Linked DNA regions of Bombyx mori. The main gene of each other region encodes a partner of the protein of the gene in region 4 in a complex. Links are inferred from orthologs where the notes say so. Each region holds a gene or a part of one and is shown on either strand. Other genes may lie near its edges.

Region 1 (6,404 bases), on a different chromosome or scaffold from region 4:
TGCAGGTTCACGCACCACGCCGACAGTTCGATTGCTCATTCATTAATAAGAACAGACGGACGCCGCTACCAATATTTTTAAACCACAATACAAAATTAATTATTATTATTATTTTTTATTTCCTTTGTAGGCAGACCAGCATACGGCCCACCTGATGGTGAGTGGTTACCGTCGCCCGTGGACTTCAGCAATGCCAGGGGCAGAGCCAAGCTGCTGCCTACAAATTAGGCAAAAATGTAATTAAAACGTAATTTTGACCAATTACTTGTCGTCCAGAAACTGACGAGTCAGCGGACACCGACGAGGAAGTGCGGGACCGCGGCCGGGCGCCGAGCCCCCCCGCCGGCGCGACAGGGTCGAGGGGGGGCAGCGGCGAGCCCGACGTGCAGTTCGTGTGCGACGAACGAGTCAAGGCGTCGCTCGCGGTCGAGTCGGACTCGGACGAGACCGACGCTGGGGCCGACAGCGGCGCCGAGCACGCGGCACGTACACTCTATTACTAACGGATTAGTTAGTAATAGAGCTCGTCCACACATCTAAGCAATAAAAAAAAAAAAAAAATTACTTTTTTTTTAAATATTAAGTATTGTTTCCAGATAGACGACAGCAAGTCGCTGCCGGCGTTCTTTGAGGGAGTAACGTTCGCGGTGGAGGCCGGGGACACACAACTGCGGGCGCGCTGCTGGCGCTACCTGCGGGCCTACGGGGGGCGCGTGCTGCAGGTCGCTCGTGCTGCAGGCACAACAATATGACATGCCCTTCTTCAAACGAGGCTTGTAGAGAGTACTTAACGATAGGCAGCGGCTTGGCTCTGCTCCTGGCATTGCTGAAGTCCATGGATGACGGGAACCACTCACCATCAGATGGGCCGTATACTCGTCTGCCTACAAGAGCAATAAATTTATATTCTTATATTTATATTTATATAAATTTATATTAATTCAAAATAGTTAAAAAATTTCATGATTGTCACATTTCCTCTATGATTGGATAAATATACATATTTTCCTAATTTTAAACAAATGTACATTTTTCAGAAGTCTCAGCTGGATGAGGACAGCCGCGTAGATTACGTGGTGTGCGACGACGGCGCCGCGCCGCGAATCAAGGGCCGCGCCGTCACTGCAGCCTGGCTGTGGAAATGTCATCAACAACGAAAACTGTGTCCAATATAACGACAGCTCAACTTGTGAATTCCTTTCATTAAATAACTGTCAGCTAACAACGCCTTTTCTTTCACAAATCTCAGTAAATGACCACCATTTTACTAAGATCCCATATCATCTCATTTCATTTAATTTCATTCTAGTTGATTAGGGTCAATTCCCACTGAAAGAGCAGCGGCCGGCAGCGTCTTTTTTAGGCAAAATATTACAAACTATTTTGAATCTTATCTACGTGATTAAAAAGTTCATAGTCATTTGAAGGCAAAGGAGGGGTAGCGTGACGTCGCGAGGCTGCACGAGCCTTCTACCGACTAGTCAAAAGAGGCGCCGCGCGGCTGATCGCGGCGCAGCTAGCTGACGTGCGGCCGACCGCGGTGCAGCTAACAGACTCGCGGCTGCGCGCGAGCGACCATTTCATACCCGCCCGCCCTGCCGCTTACGCATTTCGCGTCATTTTATTAGAGGGTATCAAGTTAGAACGTGCTACGCTCCGTGAGAAAAAAATGTACCCAAAATTTTCTTTTCCTTTTTCTTTCCGTTTTGTTTGTTACTTCTTGTTCTTCTTCTACAGCCAGTGCTATGATACATAAATCCAAATCCACCATATTTATTGCCACACAACTTTCCTTGAGTGAAGTAGATCGCACACTAGTTTTCAAAGCTACTACGCGGAGGTTCATTGCGGCGCCTCGGGATGCCGCGCTGCCTCTCGCGGCGCCGCACTGCCCCGCGCGGCGCCACACTGCCCCTTGCGGCGCCGCGCTCAATCACTTGCTCTTACGGCCGCTGCGCGCCGCTGCTCTTTCAGTGGGAATTGACCCTAATGTCTCAAATTAATCATCTTCATTTTATTTCATTTCACTCCATATTATCATTTTTCATAAAAATAAGACATGACTTAAAGGTCTTAATTACCAGTTCATAAAATCCCTAAAAAAATTAAAATTAGCAGAGATAATACCTACAATATTCTCTTGTACTCTGTGTTTCTGGGTTTGTAGTTTTGGTCGAATTAAAAATGGCTCTCAATATTAGTGTGAAGGTCCATCCTGTTGTTTTATTTCAAATTGTGGACGCATACGAACGTCGAAATGCAGATTCTCACAGAGTTATCGGCACCTTATTGGGTTCGTATTGATTTATAAATCATGCAATAACTATAAATTCAAAGGACATTAGTTGTCAACGTCATGTCGTGTACCAAATTTTATGAGTTGTTATTTAAAAGAAAAATCCCTAAATGCTAAATATGTACGTCAATTATCATTACACATTTCACTTTGGCTTTTCCACATCAACGTTATAGTTAATTTGATAAATTCCTTGGTCACATAAGCCAGGTGCAATACAAATGTGTAAAGGCGTTGTAAGGTTATGTTGTGCTGTTGCTGCAGGCACGAGCGACAAAGGAGTGGTGGAAGTAACCAACTGCTTCTGCGTGCCACACAAAGAACATGCCGATCAAGTCGAAGCGGAACTTAATTACGCGATGGATGTTTACGAGCTGAACAGAAGAGTCAATTCCTCTGAAAGTATTGTTGGTGAGCTATACCTGCATTATACTCAAATTCACATATGTAACAATACTCACAGACGCATACACACACAATTTACACTAATTATTATTATTATTATTATTATTATTAATGCTTTATTTCAGTTATTATTTTTTTTTAAAACCATAACATTTTGTTAGTAATAATTACTTATAATCTATGTTAGTAACTTAAAAATCTAACACATAACTATCATTATATTATACATTTTATACCATTATATATTATTATTTTTCTCCTTCCAAGTGCCTACTGCAAAGGCTATTGATCAGCAGTCCCTCGATCTTGCTCGATATGATTCTCAAAAGACTGTTGTCACTGTCACGAACTCGACGCAATAACGATGCACTTCTCTTCCGCATTATTGCAAAGAAGTCATCTGTGTGAGATGTCGCAAACATTGTGGATGCACTACAAAAGCGCGGCAGTGACAACATCATCCTAAACGCATTATTATATTGGACACGTAGGGCATTGTAAGCTCTCCGCGTGTATGTGGTCCACAGACTACTGGCGTAAAAATTCTGGCAATAAGCTTTAAAAATTGTAAGTTTGACATAGCTATCGCAACCAGTAAATCTGCGGGCCAGCATGTTGCATCTTACTATCAACTAATTGCCACATCATCATCATTTTCCTGCCCTTCTCCGAGTCACCTGGAGTCGGCGCAACATATTTTCTCCGTTCATACTCCTCTATCATAATACCATTTCTTCGCTCATTCCACTCTTACACATATTGTCCTTCATGCAATCCATCCATTTCTTCTTAGGTCTACCTCTTCCACTATAGCCTTCCACATTTATAGTTAACACTCTTGACAATTGCCAATTAATAAAATTGGATCTTTTACTTCCCTTAGCATACCTTATACATTTAAATTCAAACTCATTTGTATTATTTTTAGGTTGGTGGGCGACTGGCAATGAAGTAACCAACCACTCCTCTGTTATACACGAGTATTATTCCCGTGAATGCCGTGAGCCTGTCCATGTTACTCTGGACACTTCGCTGGCTGGAGGTCGAATGGGTTTACGTGCATATGTTTGTGTACCATTGGGAGTGCCAAATGGAAAGCAAGGTTGCATGTTCACTCCTGTAGATGTCACTCTCACATGCTATGAACCTGAGGTAATTATTGAAGATTTTGTACTGTATTCATTGTCAATATTTGCTTTATTAAGCAAAAATATGGTGAAAACTGCTGAAAGGCCATTAAACTCTGACTGTTACAGGTTTAAATTTGTGTTCAAAAGGCTTCAAAATCATGAGCTGTTTTAGACTCAAATTTGTTAATATTTCAATATCCATGAACTCCAAAACTGCATTGTGTGGAATCACATATTGTTATATTGTTAAATAAAAAAAGGGTGCGTGTACTTATGTGCGCGCGTAAGAAGTTATACTTAATTTTTATTAATTTTTTTTTTTTAATAATCATAAATTAATAATAAATATTTAATGTTAATAATTTAATAATGTTTAGTATGAATTACAGTCAAACCTGGATAAGCGAGAGTTAAAGGGAGCACAATCTCATTCTCGCTTATAGAGGTTTCTCACTAACCCGAGTTTCTCCCTAATGAACCCTCTGAATGTCATTTCGCGATTTTCCAGATTCAAACGCATTCACTATTTTAAGTTTATCACTTAATGACAGTACTTTAATTTTCCGTTTTGACATGATGCAGAACAGATTTTTCCCTCGCGATTGATTAACGATAAACTGAGTAAGTCTGACAAACAGGACGGTACACCGGGACACGTGTCCATTCGAAAAGAATGCGATAAATTAACAACGTTATTTAGTTCCACGAAATAGAATAGGTTCTATATTGACGAGAAAACAATACAAAAACAATGTTAAAAAGTTCCATGAAATTTAAGAATGGGTCATAAAATAGCAGATGTTAAATTTGTAATTTGTTTTGTCATTTGTTCCTCCTAAATAATATTATTATAAATAAATAAAGCTCGACTGTCGCTTATAGAGGTATAGACAAGTAGCAGTCTCACTTACGGAAGTCCATAAGGGAAAAAACTACTCTCGCTTACAGAGGTTTCTGTCTCTCGCTAATAGAGGTCTAAGAAGCTAAAAATGACGGGTCCTGGCTATTACTCTCATTTATAGAGTTTTCTCACTTATCCAGTTCTCACTTACCCAAGTTTGACTGTATATTAAAATCCCTTATTAATCTGGTAATTCCTTATTAGCAGGAAAGGCCTGAGCATATTAAAACGCATTACTGCTTCACGGCAGAAATAGGCGGGGCAGTGGTACCTACCCGTGCGGACTCAAAAGAGGTCCTACCACCAGTAAAAAACCTATCTAGAGTTTTAATGTTTTGCGGCATAGAGTAAACGTTTGCTTTGATTGATTAGATTGTAGGTCTACAAGTGTGCCAGAAGACTGTGTCTGGTGGAGGTCGCGGGTCGAGCGGCGTGGCCGCGGGCTCGGACCTGGCGCAGGTGATGTCGGCGGCGAGCTCGCTGGAGTCGCTGCTGGAGCAGGCGCTGCAGTACGCGGACGGAGCGGCCGCCGGAGCACCGGCCGACGCGGAGGCGGGCCGTGCCCTATTGCAGCTCGCACATTCCGCACCTGACCTTGCCAAGGACACCTTCTCAGATGCCTTCGCCTCCAGCGTCAAAGATCTGCTCATGGTAAGTTCACACTCAACCACTCTACCGTGCTGTGGGCTTAACTAGAACATAATATATGAGTAAGTATAAAGGATGGGACGGTTTCTGGACATCTTTCATGAACACTGACATCCAGGCGAGACTATGAGACAATTTGTTAGCTGATCTACTTGTGTTGCTAATGGCAATTACTTACACAGGGACTATACAAGTGCCTATGATTATTCATCCAAAACTTGTGCTGAAATATAGTTTTGTCAATTCTGCTGTCCCTCATCAACAGTACTAATGTCAGCCAGTTCTTGAACATTACCTTTATATAGTGCTGGGTTTGATTTACCATTTGCTTTTAAGCATAAGATATCATTAAACTCACAATGATGCATGCAGACTGCATCATAACAGTGAACTTTCAAATAGTATCAAGATATAAAATGTCACCATAGATTTCTTACCAACAAAAACTACGTTTTCAGTAACTCTTAGCATAATGCTGTGTACATTTTGAGTCGAACTACACATATTTGAATGCGTGGTTGGCCAATAATGAATCACCTTAAAGCTGGATGTTGTGCACTTTCCTGGGCATAGCATATGCAAATATTTCCCATTCATTATTATTATTGCCTTCCATAGTGACAATAATTATTAAGAGTCCCTTTTCCAATGAATTACATTTATTACACTTGAAGTGTACAGCGATAACAACAGAGATCTCCGCTCCGTTCGACTGCTCGGACCGGAATGTTTTGTGCGATTTTTTTTTTCCTACCTAAGCCGATAGTCTTGAGAGGCTATTTCAGCGTAACCATAACTAGTAGGTGAGCTCACGCGGCTCAAACCTGACGTCGTTGCTAACGCGAACCCTAGCAATAGCCGTGATTCGCAGAATCTACCACCGGATCGGAAACGCGACCCACTGAGAAGATCCGGCGAGCTGTGTCTTAGGGTTAATTTACTCGTCGAGCCCTTCGTCGCAAGCGACGGATTCGACGAGAACGATGACCGGTGCTTGAGGTACCTCAAAGCACCGTTAGTGGAT
Region 2 (5,754 bases), on a different chromosome or scaffold from region 4:
CTTTGCAATTCATGAGGAATTTGTATTAAAATTTTGTATAGGGTATGACAATATTAAGTTAAAGGTTAACTTACATCATGTTTGGGATAATAACCAAATCTAAAATACGATAATTCACCAGAAAAATGAACATAGTTTCATAACTTCATAGAATTGACAGGCTATAGTTGCTCTTGAATTGATATAATATCCATAATATTTAAATTATAAAATTTTACTAGCGACAAGAACGTGAGAAGGCTGAACGTCTCGTGACAGAGAAGACTGCAGAAGAAATGACTCCAGAGCAGAAGTTGGCTGAGAAACTTCGCCAGCAGAAGCTACAGGAAGAATCAGATTTGCGACTAGCCATGGAAACCTTTGGTATGCTTGATTGATTTGGTGTGCTCGTATTACAGTTTGTGGATTCCAAAATAAGATTCATTTTAAGCAATAATTAGTAGACATTCTAAAAGAGGGTTTATAATCCCTAATATAATGAAGTTGTTGTGGCCTAATGGATAAGATGTCCGGTGCATTCGTGTTGAGCGATGTACCGATGTTCGAATCTCAGGCGGGTACCAATTTTTCTAATGAAATACGTACTCAGCAAATGTTCACGACTGATTTCCACAGTGAAGGAATAACATTGTGTAATAAAAATGAAACCCGCAAAATTATAATTTGCGTAATTACTGGTGGTAGGACCTCTTGTGAGTCCGCGCGGGTAGGTACCACCACCCTGCCTATTTCTGCCGTGAAGCAGTAATGCGTTTCGGTTTGAAGGGTGGGGCAGCCGTTGTAACTATACATGATACCTTAGAACTTATATCTCAAGGTGGGTGGCGCATTTACGTTGTGGATGTCTATGGGCTCCAGTAACTACTTAACACCAGGTAGGCTGTGAGCTCGTCCACACACCTAGCAATAAAAAAAAAATTTAAAAAATTGTGGTGAAGTGGATTATTGTGAGCCCTCATAAGTAGGTATTACCACCCTGCTTTTATCTGTTGTGCAGCAGCCATTATGCTTTTATGAGATATCAGGCTTCATGGCTGCATGTTAAATCATTGGCATCATGCATTGAACGTTTAAGATTTTAATGACATATCTAGTTTTCAATATCTCCATAAGAGAATGATATTTCTTCTAATTATGATCCTTAAATTAATTTATTTTGTCATATGATCTTTTTAGAGAGTTAATACTTACGTAAAGTGTTAATTGTATGTGAAAGTGTATTTAAAATGGGTGAAGTATGACTTTTCTTGAGTAGATGGGTGAACTAAATCTAAATGATTACAGGAGCCTACAAACATAGTCACATAAATGCCACCACCCACCTTGAAACATAAAGTCTTCATTGAATTGTGTAATAGCTGTTCAAATCAAAAGGCATGACTGCTTCACGACAGAATTAGGCAGGATTGTGGTATCTACCTGTGTGGGTTTATGTTGTGCCTTTCTTTCATTAAATGTCAGTTGACAATCATAGTATGCTGATTTTATACAGAGAATACTTCTACCCATTCTCTGGTGAAATCCTTAGTTGCCTTTCACAACATGCAGAGGAAAATAAGAAATATAAATACACTGCTTTTTTATGTTTACTGGTTGTGGTGTAACAATAGCATTTATTATTGCATAAATTTGAGCAATAATAATTATTCCTCCAATAATTAATACATTATAATAACAATATAGAAAAAAGTCTACGTAGCGCACAAAACACCCAAAAACACACTACTAAACCTAGTGTAATATCAGCCTATACTAGGAAACTCATGGAGCGGAGACAGCAACTACATGTAACCAAACCAAAAACAAGAGCATTGAAAAATGAACTAAAAGCTTTATATAAACTCATAAGTAAGAACATAAGGAGAGACTACATGCTCCATCGATCAAAAACATTTGAAAAACATATACTACTGGGAGCATTAAAAAGGCGTACAAGGAGCTAATTACCTACAAGCCTTGGATTAAACAACTAAAAGAGTCAGATAAACTATCACATAATAGGACTGATATTATGAAAACCGCAACCAATTTCTACAAAAAACTGTATGATTGTCAAGTCCAAAACTTTACAAATATATCTGTCAGCACCAGCATACAAGTACCAGCGGAAGACGTCTCACAGATAAAAAAGATAGATGATTTAGAAGTTATAGAAGAAATAAAAAAACTTAAAGCTGAAAAATGTCCAGGGCCCGATGGAATCACTAACGAGGCAATAAAAATAGGCTCTAAATATCTTGCACATCCTCTGACACAGCTCTTTAACTCTATATTAGATTCAGGCACCACACCTTTTCAATGGTCAGAGTCGAACATGATTCTACTCTACAAAAAGGGTGATCCCACTGATATAGGCAATTATCGTCCTATCAGTCTGCTACCCACACTCTACAAACTTTTTTCATCAATAATCGAAAAGAGGATTAGTAAGAGAATAGAGGAACACCAACCAATAGAGCAAGCTGGTTTCAGACGTGGATATTCTACAATAGACCATATCCACGCAATTGAACAAATTGTCGAAAAATATAATGAATATCAGAAAACACTCTATGTTGTGTTTATCGATTATCGGAAAGCCTTCGACACAATCCGACACTCTTCTATATGGACCGCCCTAATCTCACAACGCGTTGAACACAAATATATAGAAATAATAAAGTGTTTGTATAACAACTGCACAAGTAGAGTCAAACTTGAGACGACAGGACCACCGATACCCATAAGGCGAGGTGTGAGGCAAGGCGACCCACTATCTCCGAAAATTTTCATAGCGGTACTGGAGATGGTCTTCAGCAAACTAAATTGGGAAAGAAAAGGGCTGAATATTAACGGCAATTTCATCAACCATCTAAGATTTGCGGACGATATTATTCTATTATCTGAAAGTGCTAAAGAGATGGAATCAATGATACACTCGCTAAAAACTATGAGCTATGAAGTGGGTTTGGAAATGAATTTAGATAAAACAAAAATTATGTCGAACAGTATAAAACATCCCATATATCTCGACGAAAAACCATTAGAATACGTAGATAGCTACATATACTTAGGCAAACAAATTTCCTTTGGAAAACAAAACAATGAATTAGAGGTTGAACGAAGGATTTCAGGCGCATGGAAAAAATTCTGGAGTCTAAAAGACATACTAAAGGGAACGATGCCTATTAACTTAAAAAAGAAACTAATGGACACGTGCCTGCTCCCCTCTATTACCTACGGCTGCCAAACGTGGAAATATACGCTACGCGTAAAGAACAAAATCAGGTCTTGTCAACGAAGTATGGAGAGAAGCATTACGAATGTGAGAAAAATACAAAAAATCCCACATAATGTCATACGGGAAAAGACTAAAGTTATAGATGCACTAGATTTCTCACAAAAGTTAAAGTGGCGCTGGGCAGGCCATGTAGCCAGGATGAGCGACGACCGCTGGACCTGTAGACTCACGCTATGGCGGGGGCCTGCAGGTATTAGAAGGAAAGGAAGACCGGTAACGCGTTGGGACAACGATATAATAAAAATCGCTGGTAAAAACTGGAAGACAATTGCCAAAAATAAAGACAAATGGAAAAGTCTGGAGGAGGCCTTCACCCTCACATAAGAGGGGTTCTTGCATGCCTGCATGCTAAATTAATATAACCTTTTTTACATATTTTATGTTGATCCGACTAATATTATACACAATTTATTAAGAATTCTATCATAATTAATATCGATTATTATTAATGTATTATCAACAATTTTTTTATAATTTTTGTAATGTAACTTTTTTTTAAATGCAAGAAATAAAAGGCTTTTTATTTTATTTTATTTTATTATTTATTAATAACAATAAGGCTTTTGAGTAAAATAATAAACATTCATATTCTCATACAATAATCGTATTTTATTGTGTTCAAAACTACTAGCAAATGTAATGATTGATTGTCCAAAATATATATTAAGATTACTTGGCACAATTTCTTGGCAAGTCTTAAAACTGCCTCAAGTCATATGAGACAATGTTTTTATTATAATATGTCTAGTTATCAGATTAGATAACTTACCCATGAAAATGATTACAGGTGTAACAGAAGGTAACATTGGTAAACTTGACAATTTCCACCCAACTACAAAAGAAGAGTACACAGAGTTTGCTGATCTCCTTACAAAGAAGATCACTTTCTATAAAGCCAAGGATGAATTTCCAGGATTCATTGATGACCTAGTCAAGAATATTTTAGTCCAGAGTAAGTAAAATTCATTGTTTATGACTTCATTGATTGTGTTTGTAATTCAAATTGCTGATTTTTGCTGTGAAACAGTAATGCATTCAGTTTGAAGTGTAGTGTAGCCGTTGTACTGCACAATTTAGACTTTCGACATAATGTCTCAAGGAGTATGGCAGCATTCACATTGTGATGTCACAGTAACTGCTTGTCACCAGGTGGGCCGTGAGCTCATTCACCTAATAATAAATAAACATATAGTTCATGCTTAATATGGGGCTTGGTTCTGCTTAATACGTAATCATCATCGTGAAGTAAATATCTTCTCATTGTCAGTGGTGGTCACCAATGTAGAATATGACATTTATAAATGAAATCTTTCATTTCTAGATTGAAGTTAATTCAGAGCAACTCCATTATTATGATTGTGAACTTTCTTTCATTAGATGCCGCTAAAGTGTAAAAAGTCTTATAAAATTTAATAAATTCTGGATTTTTTGTTGCGTTTCGCTATGAAGGGCGGGGCGGCTGTCGTACTGTTAAAAGTGAGACCTTTACATCTCATGTCTCAAGGTGGGTGGCGGTATTTACGTTGTAGATATCTATGGGCTCCGGTAACCATTTAACATCAGATGAGCCGTAAATTTGTCCACCCAACTATGCAATAAAAAAACATATCCAGATTAATCTGGTACGCAAGATCTCATCTAAAGTCATTAGGAAATAAATTTTCTTACTATGCTTAGATCTTTTCATATTACAAGAAATGTCATCTGCTTTTATCTGTTGTGCAGCAGCCATTATGCTTTTATGAGATATCAGGCTTCATGGCTGCATGTTAAATCATTGGCATGATGCATTGAACGTTTAAGATTTTAATGACATATCTAGCTTTCAATATCTCCATAAGAGAATAATATTTCTTCTAATTGTGATCCTCAAATAAATTTATTTTGTCATATGATCTTTTTAGAGAGTTAATACTTATGTAATGTGTTAATTGTATGTGAAAGTGTATTTAAAATGGGTGAAGTATGACTAATATGATAAAGTATGACTGAAGTATGACGAAGAATCTATAATTACAGTGTCATCAGCGGATATCCGACGAATAAAATTGACTGTCGATAATCTATATATTGAAAAACAGAAGGCAGAAAAGAATGATAAAACTAAGAAGGCCACAAAGGGCAAGGGCAAGGCCAAGTTAAAACTTGAAGGGGACAATGTGAGTTTATTTTTTATTTAGTTATCAGTAACTCGAATATCCAGTAATTAAGGTATGTTGTAAGGTTGCGTTTATTACTGGTGATAGGACCTCTTGTGAGTCCGCGCGGGTAGGTCCCACCCTGCCTATTTCTGCCGTGAAGCAGTAATGCGTTTCGGTTTGAAGGGTAGGGCAGCCGTTGTAACTATACTTGAGACCTTAGGGCTTATATCTCAAGATGGGTGGCGAATTTACGTTGAAGATGTCTATGGGCTCCAGTAACTACTTAACACCAGGTGGGCTGTGAGCTCGTCCACCCATCTAAGCTATAAAAAA
Region 3 (6,446 bases), on a different chromosome or scaffold from region 4:
ACAATGGTAATGGTCCAATGGTAAGTGCTTACTGTCGCTCGTACACCTTTGCCTACTGCTAAGGGCTCTTTTCAAAACTCATCCGACGATGAGGATATAAAATTTCAAAAAACACCACGGAAGCGAATTCTTTCTAGAAATGGATTTACAAGGCAAGCTCTTGAAACGCAGTGGTAGTGGCAGTTACATAGTGGTAGTGGTAGTAGGAGTGTACTCTACTTCAGAAATGGTACTGATGACTGACATCTGCTGCATATAAAGTATGGTATAGATCACAGGGGGAACCAACCTCTATTCGAAGAAGAGAAGTCAACAAACACTCTGAACGCTTCTCTCTCCTCTTATGAAGCCAAAGAAAAATAGTACATACGGATCAAAGTTGGGTTGTGGTAGGCTACGCGAGGTCGAACCTGTGCTTTATTTAGGCGCTTAAGTTTTTATTAAGGAGTGAATTACAGCCTTATTCTAGTAAGGAATCATAAACAAGAATGGACACTCTGTCGTTAGTTTGAGTTTGATTTACGGAGATTTACTTTTTTTTTCTTTTTTTTATTGCTTAGATGGGTGGACGAGCTCACACCCCACCTGGTGTTAAGTGGTTATGTCTAAGTTCTAAGGTCTCAGTATAGTTACAACGGCTGCCCCACCCTTCAAACCGAAACGCATTACTGCTTCACGGCAGAAATAGGTAGCGCGGTGGTACCTACTCGTGCGGATTCACAAGAGGTCCTACCACCAGAAGACTTACTACTTAAAGCTTGTAAGCATCACACACTAAGATTATGTGCATGAAATAAGATGGAACTCTGTAATTAAATTAATAAAATATTTGCAGATATAAAGCTGAACATTTCATGCTGAAAATCATTCAAGATATTAAAACCGATGAGCCAATGATAAAAGCGTCTATCAGTATTTTAGCTCATCAATGTGAGCTATGTGGTCTTTGGTATAACGCCCTTTCAGAAGTAAAAGCCCACAGAACACAAGTTCACCAACAGTTTGATGCTATAGTTTATTAATATGCAATTTCCCTAAATGCTAGTTGTTACTTGCAATAAATTGTATTTTTTTTACTTACAAATAGATGTAGTATTTAACATTCTTATTAATTAATACAAGAAATAAGAACTGAAATATATTAATTTACAACTTCATAAATCTTTAAAATTAAAAGTGTTACATTTTATCTTTTTTTCATAGATGGGTACACAATCTCATTGCCCACCTGCTCTATTGATACTGGATACTATAGATATCACAATGTTCATATTATATCTACATAATAATATATTCCTAACCTATCTAATACATGAAGTTGAATTTTTTTTTTTTTATTGCTTAGATGTGTGGACCAACTCACAGCCCACCTGGTGTTAAGTGGTTACTGGAGCCCATAGACATCTACAACGTAAATGCGCCACACACCTTGAGATATAGTTCTAAGGTCTCAGTATAGTCACAACAGCTGCCCCACCCTTCAAACCGAAACGCATTACTGCTTCACGGCAGAAATAGGCAGGGTGGTGGTACCTACCCGTGCGGACTCACAAGAGGTCCTACCACCAGTACCCAACTGTATTGTAGAATAGCTGTCCCAACCTTCAAAACTTAATAACAGGTTCATGATAGAAGTAGCCAAAACGGTGATAACTACGCATGAGGATTTCCAATACCCCCTATTATCAGTATATGCTCGTAGGCTATATCAGTACACTATAATAATATGCTGAGTACTGCTGCCCATTCTCTGGCGAATCTCGCGTGACTCTAGGGGAAAAGCTGGTGCTATACCACACACAGAGTAAGTCGCTTTTATACATTGCTGCCTATACATATTTTGACAAATTTATTTTACAAGTCTATTTAAATGTCATAACAATGGCTTCATTTCATAATACATAGGTATTTGATAATTAAATACAATATGACATATTATGTTTTTACTGTTCCTTACCTTGTCAGTTGGCGACATCACCAGTTGACAAAAGTAAAGATATGATGCTGACTCCACATAATTTCCACATTCATAGCGATATTTGGCCAAACGATACATGCTATCGATCATTTCAATTTTAAACTGGAATAGAAATTGATATTAGTCAAACCATTCTTTTATTTTTAGTTTTATTTAAGGATTTATATTTATAAATTGAATATCTTGCTGGTAGACATATTTCATATATCTACTATATACTAAATATGTTTACTAAGACCAAACAATTTTAGGCTTATTTTTTTCTTTTTTTGGTGGACGAGCTCACAGCCCTCCTGGTGTTAAGTGGTTACTGGAGCCCATAGACATCCACAACGTAAATGCGCCACCCACCTTGAGATATAAGTTCTAAGGTCTCAAGTATAGTTACAACGGCTGCCCCACCCTTCAAACCGAAACGCATTACTGCTTCACGGCAGAAATAGGCAGACAATGATTTATAAAAAATATATAACAATTCTACTACATTCTACTACTGTATTTAAAAGATATATCATTAAAATTTATTAAGTTAACCAAGGTAATATTCCACTTAAAATTTATGATCTGAAGATAAAATTCTGTAAGCTGACATCATAAGCTAAGGCAGGTAGAGGATGTATATATGTTTCCTTTAAAGTGTACATATATCTAATGTATATGATATTAATAATTAAAATTATAATTATTTATGCAGAATTTTCTCAGCTGCTTGTTGTATTAGCACAAAAAAGTCTTCTTCTGAAGAACGAAATATGAAATTTTGATACACTGCCCTATTGCAAAATTCAATATTATACTGCAGTATTCTATGACATAATTCTTGAGTAATATCAAGAAAAATCTGGCATTGGCATAACAATATTTTTGTCAAAATCCATGTCAAATTACTCTTCTAATTTACAACTATTTTTTGTCATAAATTGCTATTTGCTCAAAATAGTGCTTAGTATTTTACTTTTAAATAAGATTCCACTGAATAATGAATTTGATCTTATTGAGGGGTTGGAAAAATAAATGCCCCACACTTGCTATTATCTTGATAAATATTTATACAGAAAAGCTTTTTACTTTTAAGTTACAATCGTACAACAATTGAATGAGGTGTTCTATGCCTTTCGGTTATATTATTCGGCTTTTGTATAATGTTTTCTTTTGTTTTGATAATTTGTGATTGGGCATAAAAAAGAAAGAAAGAAATATATATTTGGGAATACCCTTCTCAGGACTGTCTCTATTAGAGTATGTAAAATTGTTAACAATTTAATTTAATTAGCATTTTAAGTTATTATTCTTTCTTCATATAGAATAAATAATACTGTTTTGCTGTACTGCATGGCAGTTTAGTAATTATCTTTTCATTTAGTTTCCGTTGTATGAAAGACTCACCTCATACTCCTTGTTTGTCGAAAGATGGTTTATAAGAGTTTTAGGATCCCTCATGGTTTCAATTGTTTTCATTACATCATCTCTTTGCATGAGTCTCAATACTGGCTCTACTGCATCTTGAAGTTCCTGCAGTTCCGAAAGAACTACACCTCTCCGCTGTATAATTTCCTAGAATCACTTTTAGGTTTAATTAAGTCATTATACTAATTGTATATGCAATTTCGGAAAGGTCACATGTCGCATATTTTGTCAAATACGTTTTTTCATATACATGTAGTTTTGAGGCTTACCTACACCCATTTTATAATAATTCCAGTAATTTTCAATTGCTAATTAACACTAAAACGTATCTCAAAAGTTAATATTTTAAATTTTACACTGCTTTAGAAAATAATCAGTTTTTTTTCATCTCCTGAACATTTTACATTTTCAGAGATGTGCCCTTTTCGAAATTGCATATTCAATTATTCTTGTCATAATTATGTATTTAAACACATATACATATACATACATAGTCAGATGTCAGCATCTCTAATAATTTGTGTTAAACATCATTCCGTAAATAAAGTTAATTTAGGACAAATAATATATTTGTTAAAGATAAATTCTTACTTCAGGAGTGTCTTCTTCAGGATAGAGCATTCTTCTGATGTCAGTAACATAATCTATCATGTTAGTTTTGCTCAAAATCTCCAACTTTGCCTGCAGGAGCTCTGACTGGTCATATGTCTGAAAGTATTTGGTTTTAAGCCTTTCAGTTGCTTTTTAGAATGAAACGGACAACACTTTGTAAAACTTGACTACATAACCTACCTCCTTTGCTGCTAAGAATTCTAGTAAAGGAAACACGAGATGCCGATCAAGATACTGTCCTATTTTAAACGTTAAATCAAATTTTGAGTAACTCATGTTGATAGTTTATTTTCATGAATTCTTATGAAAATGGAAACACATGTAGTAGGTAGAAACCAACAACCTGTAATCTACAAATAGTATGTAGTAAAAGGAAAGCACTTTAGGCTACGTCCACAGTAAATATACTGAGTACAGAGTAAGCCAAAGTCAATAGTAGACAAATATTTAAAATGTTATCTATGGCGTAGTATGATATTTTGTTTATTGAGGGACTTTTTAGCGGGAACGCGAGGAGTGAAGTTGTGTGATTTGTTTTATTTTGTCTACTTAGTGTTTCTTCAGGTTTAAATGTATAGTAACGGTGGTTTATTAACTGTTTAGTATCTGTGAAAGTGCACAAATGTGGGAAAATGAAACAAAGCCAATGAACGTAACTTCTCGGGATCCTCCAAAAAGTCCACTGAAAAAATCTCAGTAAATCACCACCATTTTACTGAGATTATATTTCATCCCATATCATATAAATTCATTTGATTTCATCCCAGTTGATTAATGTCTCAAATTAATCATCAATTCATTTTTCATAAAAATAAGAATGTAAATTAAAATAAGACATTACATAAAAGTCTTATGCCCGTATCTTTAGACGTTTCGTAAAATAGTCCTCCACTCTAAACTCATCCGATGATGCTCGAATATTCCTCCCAAACTTACTCGAGTTTGGTATTTTTAGTCGACCATTACAATATTCCTCAACTGTCCTCGAGTAAGGTAGAGAGGTGCTATTGCGTCACCACGACAACATCAGTTTGAGGAAAATTTGATCAAGCTAGCATCAAACCTATAAGAGTTCTGTAGCTTATGGTCATTGTTTAATGTCAAAGTCAAGCTACCACTGTCTGTTTGACACTAGACGCATCGAACTTGTTTGATGTTTTAGTTGAGAGACTCATAAATACGTGCGCGTGCGGTGAAATAGAAGGTTTTCGTTTTTCTAACCCATGATTAATAAATTAGATTTCGGATTTTGAATAATAGCTCCTCCAGGAACCCGGCTTTGTATTTTTATTCGCTGTTTCTTTGTTGAATTTGATTGCATCGTCTTTTTGAAGTGCTTTTCCACAACCACCGGTTTATTATTCAGGTAAGTTATGATTGTGGTGTTTTATTTATTAAATAGTTAACTTTAAGTTAACTCAAATAGTTAAATATTTTTGTCCTTTATTACTCACTGCCTAAGCAAAGTTTTTTATAGATTTTACGTGAAATTACGATGCAGTAAATTATTTGTCGTTTCAGTTTTTCTATGATGACGTCCAGGCAAGTATTTAGCGAAAGCGAGAAGACCTTGCCTACAAGAATTAATTTTAAAATATAATCTGCACAAAACTGCTACCATGACAGCTAGTCAAAACACAAAAAAACTTTTGTGGATACATTTAACAGAAGAATTCAATTCAATTGAATCAAATGCAAAGGTAGATATTTATTTATATTACTTGTATCTGATTTTTACTTGTCTATATATACCATGCTATTCTTATTTATCATTTGTTTTAGCGAAGTGAGGCCCAGCTCAAGAAGTGCTGGGATAATTTAAAAACACGGAGGAAGCACTTTTTAGCTAATGAAAAGCGTCAGAGAATGAAGACTGGTGGCGGACAGTGTGTTCCAAATGAGCCACAGCCTGGTAGCAGCAATGAGACCCTTATTTTTGCTGAGGTTCTACTGGATCAGACTGATGTGGAACTCAGGGGTGACATTGACAGTGATACCATTTACAGTTCTGAAGGTAAGTGAATCTTAAAAATTTGAGATAAGTGCTTCAATCTCACATGCTCTCTCACAAAAAACAGTAAGAACGTGGTGGCATGGAGGGTCTTTTGATTATTGTTATATATCTATATGAGTCGAACTACATGTATTACTGTGCTAAAAACTAGATAAATAATATGCGTGACAATACCTGATAAAGATTTTCACTCAAGAAACCATTTTAATAATCATAATGAATATACCACATTCTGATTAAGAACAATATTACTTTAAAATTCTTTCCTCTACTCCAACTATCACTATTATTCTACCATACATAATTAAAGATTTTATTGTTTTATTTCTAGATATTGCAATGGAGCTTGAAACATCAGTTCCAGCAGTAGCGCAACCACAACAGAATGATGAAGTTCTGAGTGTCTATCTATATTAATTAGTTAGGGTAAAGCAC
Region 4 (6,190 bases):
ATTGATTTTACCAGACCTTTCACGTCTTTCCTCACGTTTCTTTAGTTTAAGTTTTATTTTCTCTTCATCATCCTCTTTCTTGGTAACTTTCTTGATGAATTGTTCACGAATATTGGAGGTACCACGTTCCTCATCATCAGAGCTAAAACTGGAGTCAGAAGAACTAGAAGCCCAATCCATAGAATCTGATGATTCATCATCTTCTGGTGGTGGACGAAGAAGGGGCTCGGGTTTAGGCTTCTCTTTAATTGGTTTTTCTTCATCTTCAGACTCATCTGATGATGATGAATCTATGAACAAAGTTTGTTATTAATTGTTTTGCATTGAATATGAAGTAGTGTTGAAGAATGTAATTTAAGTTTTCGTTTATTTTTAATTTGCTTACCTTTACGTTCATTGTCATCGGGTAGATCAGGATCTTCACGGAACTTGGATATTTCAGCTTCAAAATCTTTAGTGTACTTCCTAAGTTTCTGTCTTAGTGAGGTAAGAGCTTTACTGTTTCCTTTTGATAGAGCTTTTCGGGCTTCACGTTCATTCCATGCTCCTACTACCCAATCGTCCAATTCTACAAGAGCTCTTATGAAGAATCTAGGAGCAACTCCATTCTCCTCCTTTTGAACAACCGGTGCGGCTCGAGTGTATGCCTTTTGGAGCTCTTCGAAAGAAGCTAATGCTGAACTAAAATCCTTGATTTTCCGATGATTGCGTATAGAGTGTATAATTCCTTCTAATTCCTCATAACGCTTCTCTTTCATTGAGCGCACAACTCGCTTTGTTTCTTCCTCATCGTCACTAAACTGTTGCCAATATAAAGAATTATAATTAATTGTACTTTTCTTGTTCAATATTCTTCTACAGTTGACTGAATTATTAAATAAAATTTGAAAAAATTATTATTCTAAGCTTATAATTCTAAAGATGTAAAATAGACATGTATTAATTTGTTTGAAATTGCCACCAACTAAATCAACGATCTTGAAAAATTTTTGTACCACAGACCAAACAAATTTTATGTAATAAGGCGAACCTATTCATGCTTAGTCGATTTTGAAAGTACTTCAGAACGAGAACTCTAGTAAAATAATGTAATAGCCCTTAATATAGGAAGTCCGCTGAGCGGACGCGGCACTGTTGCCGCCACTGGCCGCGTCTGTTTGAAGTCCTTTGAGCGGACGGGTCCCTGTTGATAGATAAATGTGATTTGACATTTCACGTATCTGTGGAGTCCGCTCAGAGGACACCGCACTGGGGAGAGGTTAATGTATCACAATAGAACATTAACTAGAGTTACAACCATGCTCGGTAAGAGCTGTTGTTAGTAAGCTAGTGTTAATAAGAAATAACTATCCAGTTGATTTTATTAACGCAATATTATAATGGAAGAAATTTTCAATACTCGAATAATCATCATTTGAAGACCAAAACTAAGACATGTAAAACATGCATGCCGTGGTAGCGCAGGCTCTTCTTACACAAGTATACGCAACCTTCCTGTTGTTCACTTATCCTGAGTGCATACCTCAAAATAGAGGCAATTTACTGAAATGACTTGGGACTATAATAATATTGTGAATTGTAATTATAATCTTGTAGAATTTTCCCACAATGGCGCACTTTTAAGATTTTTAATCTGTTAACAATATACAATATTAAAAGATGACAACAAAAAAAAAATTAGCAAAAAAACACAGCAACTCTTATCTCCCAATCAATTTATAACTTTTAGTCTGATCATTTTCTTTTTAAAATTTGAAGCATATGTTTAATGTTTATTACAATTAACATTAGATATGTGTCGTTCGCCAACGAACGAACCAAACGACCCGGGTTTCAAAATCCGCGCGAACATTTCAAAAAATATGAGTCGTTCACTAGATTGACCCGTTTAACAAAACCTACGAATCAGAAGAAAAGAACCATGCAACAGTCATTCGGGTCATTTCGGGTTGCCGGGTCTCGCCCCGCGCCCGTCTCGGTTAGACGTTCGCTGTCGCATAATGACGCATAACGTATTTGAATTTTTTTTATCTCACCTAAACAATCGAACTATAACAGTTCCTTTAAACTGTTATTCAATACTAAACTTCATTCAGCCAGTGACCTGATAATATTAATCACATCATAAATTGGTGTGATTAACGGAAATCCAAACGTTTGACTGAACGGGTCGAACGAACCGGATCATTTTGTCAACAGGTCAGTATTGATCTGATTCTCTAAAATTGATTGAACAACACATATCTAATTCACATCACTGTACTATTCCGGAATCAAAGCATCTTGTTATACAAGTCAAGACAAATTAATAACAAATTGATATGCCAATCACTAGATGCACTTATTAAACTCATAATTGAAATAAATAGAAGTTTTAGTGGCTTACTATTGTTACTATTAAATTATTTATCCATGTATATTATTATATTACTCCAAATTATCTTTCAAGCAGTATGCCAGTTGACCAACAAGTCTACTAAGAGTTTAGGAACGAAAGAGTAGCACGAGCAACCCTTTGTCCTGCCAAGATGTAACTTGTGGGATTTTTTCAGATATTTTAAATTTAACATGGGTTGAATCCTATGTCATACCTTATTTATTATGAATTAAAAATGTTTTAATAATATTATACCATATTTTACAAAGATGACTGAATACAAGAAATAAAATTTATAATTAAAATAATTTCACAATCATTACAAAATATGGCTGTTCCCTTTGCCCATTCAATTTTTTGGACAAGTCGTTAGAAAGCTGTAAGCTGGCACAATAGCAGATTGCGAGCAGAGCAGAAATACATTATTGATCGCTACCCCCTCTATTAGCTACTGATAGTGGACATTTAGGAAAGAATTTAAAGGATCACATTTTTCAAAACTTCTAAAAGAGTTACAAAATTTTGCTAATTGCATTGCTGATTACCGAAAAAAAGTTTCATATATCTTGTCATCCTACATGAGATTAATGTTAGTCTCCCTTGGTAACTTAAAAAACTATTTATCTTTTTTTAAACTATAAATTGAAAATTTTGTTTCCTTGATTCCCAATTATTTATTTTAAATTTACCGTGTAAACTGGCGCGGGGGCGCGTACTACTGGCTCGTCCTCGCTGCTGCTCTCTGACTCCGAGTCCGTCCCAGTTGCAAAGAAACGACTCATATTTACAAGAGTTAGTTAATGCTTCTGTAAAAGAAAACTTCGTTAATTCCAAATGAACATTATTTGACTCCAATGGTAATTTATTTTCTTAAATATCTTAAATAAACATCAAAATTAGTAATAAATAGTTGACTTGTCCTCGCGTTGAGGTTATAAATTAGAACTGTTTAACATTTTTACAATACTTACTGTCTTATATTAAAAACAGAGTAGGTATTCAGTTTTCAAGCAATCCTCTGATGATAGACTTAATAAATTTGTAGCGAATAGAAAGAAAGCTCTCAAATACAGACCTTGCCCACGACTCACTTCATACGTCAAACGCATCAAAGTTGATCAAAGAGCTAAACTTTGTTTCAATTGTTCAATTGGAAAGGCAAAGGGAACGTGGCATATTGACTTTTTTTGTTCAATTAGACAGACACTTAAAAAAATCGTTTTATTTGGCTACATCCCTTTGCTCGTCGTATCAGATAAATTAAACCTAAAATAAACATTTATGGTACATACCTACCATAATAATTGTGTATTATCTGTGCTTACCACCCCCATAATTTCAAGTGCATTCTTTTTGAACATCACCAATAAAGTAACGAGAACACACCTACGTAGTAAATTACATTTTAAGCAATGTCTGGGCATAAATATTTCACAAATCCGAACAACCTATTCGAAAATGACGACGTCGATGATAACGAATTTGTAGATCGCTTCCGGTCAAGAATACCTCAAACACAGCAAGCAAATAAGCCTTATGGAGGTCATATTGCAGAACTGGAACGTCAACGCCAAGCTATGATCCAAACACAAAGAGAAATCGAACAACGGACAATAGATTCATCAACGAGAAGTATCGGATTGCTTCGTGATTCTGAACAAATTGGTATTGCAACGGCCGAAGAGCTTTCCCGACAACGTGAACAGCTACAGAACACAGACAGGCGACTTGATGAGATTAACACCAATTTAAACTATAGTCAAAAACATTTAAATGGTATAAAGTCTGTATTTTATGGTCTGAAGAATTATATTTCCGGAAAAAGTGATCAAACACCATCTAAAAGTCCAGCGACCTCGAATGTACGTAATGCTGGTACAAGTAGTAGCAGGCTTGATGAAACCCTAGATAATATGTCTAGGAACGTTGAAGATCGCTTTGAGAGTCATCCCTCAGCACGCCTACATGGTTTGTCTCAAGAAAGCGCTAAGAGTCCTGAAACAGAAAACGAGAGAGTAAATAATATACTTGATTCGAACTTGGATGAAATGGTGCATGCTATATCCCGGCTCAAACATCTAGGAGTTGCACTTGGTGAAGAGATAGAACAGCAAAACAACCTCGTGGATACTATTCAAGACAAAGTTGAGATTGCAGATATCAAGATTGGTAAACAAAATAAACAAATGAATAAACTACTTGGGAAATAGCAATAATTATAGCAAATTAAAGATTTATTTTAAACAACAACTAAAAGGGTCTATTAATCTATTAAATGTATCTGTTTATAAAGATTTAGCATGTTTTTAATGTGAGTGGTTTGCAAAATTCAGTAGTGTAATCATTTTGTGTGATAAGGAATACTAATGTATGGCAAAGTTTGATAAGATTATTTTTTATTTGAATCACATGACCAGCAGCAATTTGATAAACAACATGGTGTAAAAAGGGGATTTCATAGTAAAGGAAAAATCCATATATAATAAACCTACTAGTAATGTAAATTGTCTGAAAGGCTTCTTACTGCATACTAATGCTCTATACATTCGTCACCACTGCTGAGCTGACTGGCATTTTTATAAAGCTTCATAGTATGTAATAATGGTTCTTGTGTGATACTGTCCATTGTTAGCTGATCATGTACACTTAGTTACATCTAATAAAATGGTGTATGATTCATATTATTTAGGTAAACCTTTTCTGTATCATATTCGATCATCATAACCTTCATTCATTCTTCATAACTTTATTGTGCACAGTATATAGTAAAAAAAATTATCTTGTAATCTTTAAATAAATGTGTTATCTTTTTGGCTAGCAACTTATCATGACAAATTTCTTCTATTTGTTTCTAATTGTTGTTCATGCAATTAGAGACAGTTACAGTATAATAGCTAGGTTTCACTATTTTAAGATAAAGTTTTAAGTACACTTAAATATATATAAATAAGACTTGTGTGCAAATAAAACAATATTAGGGCAAAACAACCAATATAAGGTGAGTACTTACTTTAAGTACCTATGTTCTATTAACTAATCCAAATTTTAAATGGGTGAAAGTTCCAGACACCTCATCATGAATTATGTTCTTGCATCATAAAGTAAGGTACATACATACTAATATTGTTATCAATGAGTTAATGTTTGCCATTAACAATAATTTCATTTATATCCAAGAACCTAGCGATAAGTGTAAACAGTCATTATTATTATATATACTTATTTTATATTGTTTCCATTAATAAATATATTTCAAATCACAAATGCTTTATTTTCTTTAGTTTTTTAAATTCTAGATAGTAATTTACATATTTGCATCAAATACTTGTTCGAAGAAAGTATTATCAACAACAGTTTCCAATATCATGTCATTGGCATCAACATTATGAGTTTTTATATGTTTTTGAAGAACTCTTTTATTTGACAGTTTCTTCCCGCATATATTGCAATGGAGCTCCACAGTGGCATGAGATTCCATATGCATTTTTAAGCCTGAGGCTGTTGCAAAACCTTTGAAACAAGTTGTGCATTTGTGCTGTCTCTCTGTCGTGTGAGTGTGTGCAAAATGCACCAACAATGAATGTTTGGTGGCAAAGCTTCTTTCACAGTCTTTATTGGAACATTTAAATGGTTTTGGTCTCTGTTGGCCAGTATGAACTATGCTATGTTCCCGTAAATAAATAGCTCTGGTGTAAGCTTTAGGGCAACTAGGGCAAGCAAACTGTTTTACTCCAGTATGACTTTTCATGTGCATGACTAGAGTTGATTTTGCTGTAAATCGTTTTCCACATGTAACACATACAAACAGTTTAC
Region 5 (5,754 bases), about 2.1 Mb from region 4:
GAGGAACTCAGGTAAACATTATAATTTTTTTGCTTAGATGGGTGGACGAGCTCACAGCCCACCTGGTGTTAAGTGGTTACTGGAGCCCATAGACATCTACAACGTAAACGCGCCACCCACTTTGAGATATAAGTTTTAAGGTCTCAATATAGTTACAAAGGCTTCAAACCAAAACGCAATACTGCTTCAAGACAGAAATAGGCTGGGTTGTGGTACCTACCCGCACACACTCACTACAATCTGTCCTACAACCAGACCACGTCCGTACTAGGACAGAGCGACTACACAGCCCTAATTCACTATACACTAGTATGATACTAAAGGACTGCCTCCTGCTTAAATCTGTTATGTATATTCAATTCTTAAGAAGTCATTGTAATTTTTGTGCCTCTGAAATAAATCCCATTTGTAACCCTAAATGGTTATATGATGGTAGGCCTCAGAGGTAGATCGTATTGTAGCTAGACGCGACAGAATATACGACACGTGTATAGCCTGTGTTAATGTATGCTTGCACATTTTTTTTCATTTGATGTATCGGCTTTCAATTCCGCTATTATATTTCATGTGTTTTATTGAATTAATTTAGCTAAATTACACAACTACAAAAAAAATTTCGTTCTTTGTCCAAACGTTTATACTAGATTTTTCCAGTTAATTATTCACAAAAACGAAAACAAAAGTTTGCTTTTGTGATAGTTATAGTAATAATACTCATTTTTCAACTTTTTTATAAATTTTTTATTAATTTTAATACTTTAAAAAAAAAACGCGCTATCAAAGTGGGGTGTTTACGTTCACACAGTGCCACTAGATGGCACTCGAGTCATAAACAACGGTCAGGTGTTTTGTACAAGCCCAGAAAAACTTAAAATGTCACGAAAGTGTAAATACGATGCTGATGCATTTTGTTTCATATGTGGTCAATTTATTAAAGTTCAAAAGCAAACTGTTTCATGCCATGTATTATTTTTTCGTCTAATTACGATCTAAAATATCGAAATTTTAAGTTTTGCCATCAAAGTCAAAATTGGTGTTGACCCGTGTTATAGATAGGTTAGAAAAATAAAACAGGTCCACTAAAAGCTTTCAGAGCTATGACGATCGTTAATTAATATTAGAAATAGGACTAAGCAAAGGTGGTAAGTAGGACCTCTTGTGAGTCCGCGCGGGTAGGTACCACCACCACCCCGCCTATTTCTGTCGTGAAGCAGTAATGCGTTTCGGCTTGAAGGGTGGGGCAGCCGTTGTAACTATACTTGAGACCTTAGAACTTATATCTCAAAGTGAGTGGCGCATTTACGTCGTAGATGTCTATGGGCTCGTCCACCCGCATAAGCAATAAAAAAATAATAATAACCGGAACAACTAACGAAATGATTTGACGTATCAGGCGTCAAGAGGAGCAGCTCCGCGCGGCCGCCATCGCCGAGGCCCGCCGCTTGGAGCAGGAGCGTGAGGAGCGCGAGAAGAAGCGCCACGCGTCGGAGCTGGCCGCCATGAGGGAGCGACACCTCAAGGAACGCATGGCGCACATCTCTCAGACCGCGCACGGACAAAAGATGCTCGGAAAACTCAATGAGGAGGTTCGTCTTGTTTACTGTTCTCATTTGCTGCATTAAAGAACATAAGATAATTAAAGGAAATAATCGATAATTATATCTTAATCTTAATTACAATAGATCTCTTTCTAATTAATTTAATTAAAAAAATCTAATATTAAAAAAAAAAAACATGCCCGCTGATTTTCTTGCCAGTTCTTCTCAGGACGCAGGCTAGTTTTTGTGAATTGGCGGTAGTTCTTTTTGACGTTCAACAAGTATGTACTTTCATTTATGTTGAATAAAAAAAATTATTTTTTTTTGATTGATTATATGTAATTCAAAAACTATTTTTCTGAAATTATAAAAAGTCCGGTATCCATTTTTCACGTCAAGCCAAACGCTAACTACACGACACATGATGTCGCATGTGATTAATGTATTAGTGATTCGTCTAGGGTTAACTTACACATTTTGATACCCAACAATGTTACATGAATGTTTAATTAAGTTTCATAGTTTGTGTTAGAATTTAGAAAAATAGAAACATAATTGATTTCCTATGCTTGCCAGACTCGTTTTTGTCGCAGTTCTAATAAAAATGATTTTTCGCATCCTGAGTATTCTTACAACCAGCTAATCCTATTTAGTCTAATATTGGACATTCGTTTTGTCCATTTCCTTTAACACAACATAAGAGTATTCAACAAGGTCAACAAACCTAAATAAAAAAAAAACTTAATATAAAATACATTATTTCACTATTGAATGCAGGATCTTAAGAAAATGGATGCTGAAGCTATTGCTCAGCGGGAAGCTGAAGAACTGATGAAGGAACGTCGCGAGCTTCAGGCTAGACTGAAGTCACAGGAGAAAAAGGTACTGTCAACATTAAAATATCCAGAAATTCAATCTATACATATAAATAAAATTAGAGTGTCTGTTTGTAGTATTGAAATAACCGCTTTTTACTACATGCATATGAATATATATACGGTACATACACCAAAATAACATTTTTTACAATCTTTGTCTGTCTGTCTGTTGTTTGTTCCGGCTAATCTCTGGAACGGCTGAACCGATTTTGATGAGACTTTCACTAATAGGTAGCTGATGATATAAAGAGTAACTTGGGCAACTTTTTGGAGTTTACTCCTTTAGAATCGATTTACATATATAGGCCCGGGGTATGAAAATTATGGGGACCAAAATCGTACTAGCATGTCACACGAAATGCGTTATGCGCCTGATTGGCTCCTGATTGCGTGATGCGTGCGCGCGCCAATCAGGAGCCAACGCGCGGCCGCGTTATCGCAGGTGACGCCGGGCTGCTGCGCCGGCAGTCCGCCACAAAGCCTCGTACTGATCGCGCGTTTCTCTCATTATTGTATTTTCATATATTTGTTAGTCGTTTGTTTTGTGTCTCGTTAATTTGTTAATAATCTGTAGTGTATCGTGTTTTCGTAATATAGAACTATTTCTCGTATTGTTTCGTTTAATTTTTTATATCCAGTAAACTCCAGTCGTGCGTCGGAGCGGACACACACACTTTTTTTTTTTAGACTAGCTTCGCCCCGCGGCCTCACCCGCAGTTATTGTCCTACCGCACGTAACATGGCGGGCTTCGCCTATATCAATAATAAAATTTAATGTTTCCGAAGCGAAGCGAGGGCGGGTCGCTAGTAAATAATAATTGACACGCACTTACCACAAAATGGCTGACACATCCTGTCTTACTTATTTTACATCAACAATTGGTTCAGTGTTAAAATATTGCAACCTTTTTGAAATTCACCACCAACTGGTATGACATGAAATGCTAAGTAAAAGTGTAAACGCTACCAACACGAAGTTAAAATCTTAACATTAATATGTAATATATCTGTGTCTTCCTAACCGAAACTAGTAACACTTTATTTCATAAACGAATTTTCATCAATATAAATAACAAACAGGTGGATTACTTTGAGCGTGCCAAGCGATTGGAAGAAATACCACTTCTGCAGAAGAGCCTGGAAGAGAAACAGGTTCAAGACAAGGCATTCTGGGAGCAACAGGAAAAAGAACGCATCGAACAACTCATAGGTAAGCAAAAAATGCGAAACACTAACACTAAACAAACTCTAGTTGAATTATTTTGTCCGTGCAATTTGGGACATAAATAATCGGAGCGGTGAAGCGAGTATTTCGCTGTCTCTTCCACTCACGGGCCTTATGGACGAGCATAGTGATGCGCATTATTGTTGTCGATAAGCTTTATCGATAGTGTATTAATTTTGTCATTTTAGTGATAAAAATGAAAAAAAATATCACTAATCTTGATAATAATAATAATAAACTTACACTACATATCGCCGCAGCAAGTTAACGAGAACGGCAGAAATTAACACTTTGTAACTTTTCGGGTTCTATTTTCATTTCAGTGAAAAATTTTAAAACATTGTTGATAACAACACATGCTTGTGCTGGTATATTTTTGCCGACAGGCAAAATATTGTTTTGAATAAATTCTGCCGTTTTGGTACAAAACAAAGAAGTAACCATTATGTCACTAAAGAAATTCAGAGAGTGAATGCACAAAAACACATTTCTCTTCGACATGTTATGTACTATAATTTGCAGGTCGGTGCAAATGACTCATAACATAACAATGTCTCACCACCTTTCGTATACCACCCCGCCGCCGTGTACCTGCCTTCGATGACTCATTTGTTTTTATCGATAATAGCGTAGGGCCCGCGCCATGTGGTCACCACCCTAGCCGGGCTATGACTTATAACCCAAACTGCGCCGACAAAATAGTTCTACTATAGTATTTAAAAACAAATTGAATCCAGCAGAATTGAGTTTTGCAATCCAGTGCTTCGAATAGGCGAAGGAAAAGCTGCGACTATGTAATATGTAATTGTAAAATGTAAAAGTAATGTAATTGTGACTACACGTCGCTGCACGTCTCACTGGATGTGACATATTGTCTTGCCACTAATTATACAATTTCCTTGCCTCAGAGGCTCGCGCCTTAGACGTGGCCACGTCGGAGCGCATGTCCCGCATGGCGGTCCACCGCGACGAATTCATGGCGCGACTTCGCTCGGAACGTGGGGCCGCCTACGCTCAAAAGGTAGCCGCTTTCAACGAGAAACTTCAAGCCGAGAAGGAAAAGAGATTAGCTGAGAGACGCGCTCAGCGAATCGAGAAGAGAAGACATGAGGTAAAAGATTGATATGATTATAACCTACAGCCGATCTTTGGAAAATTTCAATAGACGTTGCATTAGATTGTCAGACAGTTGGTTTTTAAATGAGTACAACTCTTATATGTTCCAACAACACCATTGTTCCCGATAATGAAGACTAGACATGCACATAAAAATTTAATATGTTACCATTAAAGCAAAACTAATAAATTTCTGATATGAAGCCGTCAATGCAAAAGTGGCCTAAGCTTACCATAGTTAGTATGAAGATAATGAGGTTCGAATTATCCTTTACAATACTAATAATATAATAGGCAAAAAATACGCACTAAAATGATGTTTACAAAGGAATCTGTTATCTATGGATGAAACTAGGGATAGGCAGATTTTGCATCAAAATTTATTATATTTTAAATAAATTGCAATACGTAAGCACAAACTATTGCGCTGACTGCCTCATATATGAATGATATCCAAAGTTACGAATGTACTAGTATTCAATCTTTTCAACGTTCCGTTAGCTAAATAATTTAAACTTGTAATGTAACAAGAATATTAAAAAGAAAACTAAATTTATTATTGCAGTGGATAACAGAGAAGCGTCGCGCTGAGGAACGTGCGGCTGAGGAAGCTCGACGCATCAAGGAAGAGGAAGAAAAGAGAGAAAGGGAAGAACGAGAGAGGAAACAGCAAGAAGAAATGGAAGCGTTGAGAGAGAAAAAAGAGAAAGAACACAAGTTTGTTATTTACATAAATTTGTACAATTAGTTTCTAGCTAAAAATTAGGTTTTTTTTTATTACTTAGATGGCTGGACGAGCTCACAGCCCACCTGGTGTTAAATGGTTACTGGAGCCTATAGACATCTACAAAGGCGCCACCCACCTTGGGATATAAGTTCTAAGGTCTCAGTATAGTTACAACGGCTGCCCCCATTCTTCAAACCGAAACGCATTACTGCTTCACGGCAGAAATAGGCGGGATGGTGGTACCTACCCGTGCGGACTCATGAAGTCCTA

What was found.
Region 1: eIF3c (region 4) and eukaryotic translation initiation factor 3 subunit F share a complex: the UniProt entries of both Drosophila melanogaster proteins name them as parts of the eukaryotic translation initiation factor 3 (eIF-3) complex. The link is inferred for Bombyx mori from reciprocal best matches to the Drosophila melanogaster genes eIF3c and eIF3f1.
Region 2: eIF3c (region 4) and eukaryotic translation initiation factor 3 subunit J share a complex: the UniProt entries of both Drosophila melanogaster proteins name them as parts of the eukaryotic translation initiation factor 3 (eIF-3) complex. The link is inferred for Bombyx mori from reciprocal best matches to the Drosophila melanogaster genes eIF3c and eIF3j.
Region 3: eIF3c (region 4) and eukaryotic translation initiation factor 3 subunit E share a complex: the UniProt entries of both Drosophila melanogaster proteins name them as parts of the eukaryotic translation initiation factor 3 (eIF-3) complex. The link is inferred for Bombyx mori from reciprocal best matches to the Drosophila melanogaster genes eIF3c and eIF3e.
Region 5: eIF3c (region 4) and eukaryotic translation initiation factor 3 subunit A share a complex: the UniProt entries of both Drosophila melanogaster proteins name them as parts of the eukaryotic translation initiation factor 3 (eIF-3) complex. The link is inferred for Bombyx mori from reciprocal best matches to the Drosophila melanogaster genes eIF3c and eIF3a.

What each region holds. Positions count from the first base shown.
Region 1 is NC_085124.1:489,390-495,793, reverse strand, and holds the start of eukaryotic translation initiation factor 3 subunit F, read left to right. Parts: upstream 1-2,129; 5' UTR 2,130-2,184; coding exon 2,185-2,293; intron 2,294-2,560; coding exon 2,561-2,707; intron 2,708-3,629; coding exon 3,630-3,853; intron 3,854-5,104; coding exon 5,105-5,383; intron 5,384-6,404. Other genes in the region: DNA repair protein XRCC1, read left to right, coding at 1-5, 277-482, 597-722, 1,038-1,175. UniProt on the Drosophila melanogaster protein: Component of the eukaryotic translation initiation factor 3 (eIF-3) complex, which is involved in protein synthesis of a specialized repertoire of mRNAs and, together with other initiation factors, stimulates binding of mRNA and methionyl-tRNAi to the 40S ribosome.
Region 2 is NC_085125.1:12,541,234-12,546,987, forward strand, and holds part of eukaryotic translation initiation factor 3 subunit J, read left to right. Parts: intron 1-221; coding exon 222-363; intron 364-4,067; coding exon 4,068-4,232; intron 4,233-5,299; coding exon 5,300-5,439; intron 5,440-5,754. UniProt on the Drosophila melanogaster protein: Component of the eukaryotic translation initiation factor 3 (eIF-3) complex, which is involved in protein synthesis of a specialized repertoire of mRNAs and, together with other initiation factors, stimulates binding of mRNA and methionyl-tRNAi to the 40S ribosome.
Region 3 is NC_085111.1:12,361,798-12,368,243, forward strand, and holds the start of eukaryotic translation initiation factor 3 subunit E, read right to left. Parts: upstream 4,335-6,446; 5' UTR 4,274-4,334; coding exon 4,178-4,273; intron 4,094-4,177; coding exon 3,977-4,093; intron 3,533-3,976; coding exon 3,365-3,532; intron 2,081-3,364; coding exon 1,958-2,080; intron 1,162-1,957; exon of another isoform or gene 1,023-1,161; coding exon of another isoform or gene 836-1,022; intron 1-835. Other genes in the region: zinc finger protein 280B, read left to right, coding at 836-1,022; uncharacterized protein LOC119628513, read left to right, coding at 5,617-5,697, 5,780-6,011, 6,343-6,428. UniProt on the Drosophila melanogaster protein: Component of the eukaryotic translation initiation factor 3 (eIF-3) complex, which is involved in protein synthesis of a specialized repertoire of mRNAs and, together with other initiation factors, stimulates binding of mRNA and methionyl-tRNAi to the 40S ribosome.
Region 4 is NC_085122.1:5,757,462-5,763,651, reverse strand, and holds the start of eIF3c (eukaryotic translation initiation factor 3 subunit C), read right to left. Parts: upstream 3,588-6,190; 5' UTR 3,453-3,587; exon of another isoform or gene 3,349-3,452; intron 3,184-3,348; 5' UTR 3,160-3,183; coding exon 3,067-3,159; intron 801-3,066; coding exon 386-800; intron 291-385; coding exon 1-290. Other genes in the region: soluble NSF attachment protein 29, read left to right, coding at 3,790-4,587; gastrula zinc finger protein XlCGF57.1, read right to left, coding at 5,682-6,190. UniProt on the Drosophila melanogaster protein: Component of the eukaryotic translation initiation factor 3 (eIF-3) complex, which is involved in protein synthesis of a specialized repertoire of mRNAs and, together with other initiation factors, stimulates binding of mRNA and methionyl-tRNAi to the 40S ribosome.
Region 5 is NC_085122.1:3,667,758-3,673,511, reverse strand, and holds part of eukaryotic translation initiation factor 3 subunit A, read left to right. Parts: coding exon 1-11; intron 12-1,393; coding exon 1,394-1,586; intron 1,587-2,315; coding exon 2,316-2,420; intron 2,421-3,496; coding exon 3,497-3,626; intron 3,627-4,549; coding exon 4,550-4,752; intron 4,753-5,322; coding exon 5,323-5,474; intron 5,475-5,754. UniProt on the Drosophila melanogaster protein: RNA-binding component of the eukaryotic translation initiation factor 3 (eIF-3) complex, which is involved in protein synthesis of a specialized repertoire of mRNAs and, together with other initiation factors, stimulates binding of mRNA and methionyl-tRNAi to the 40S ribosome.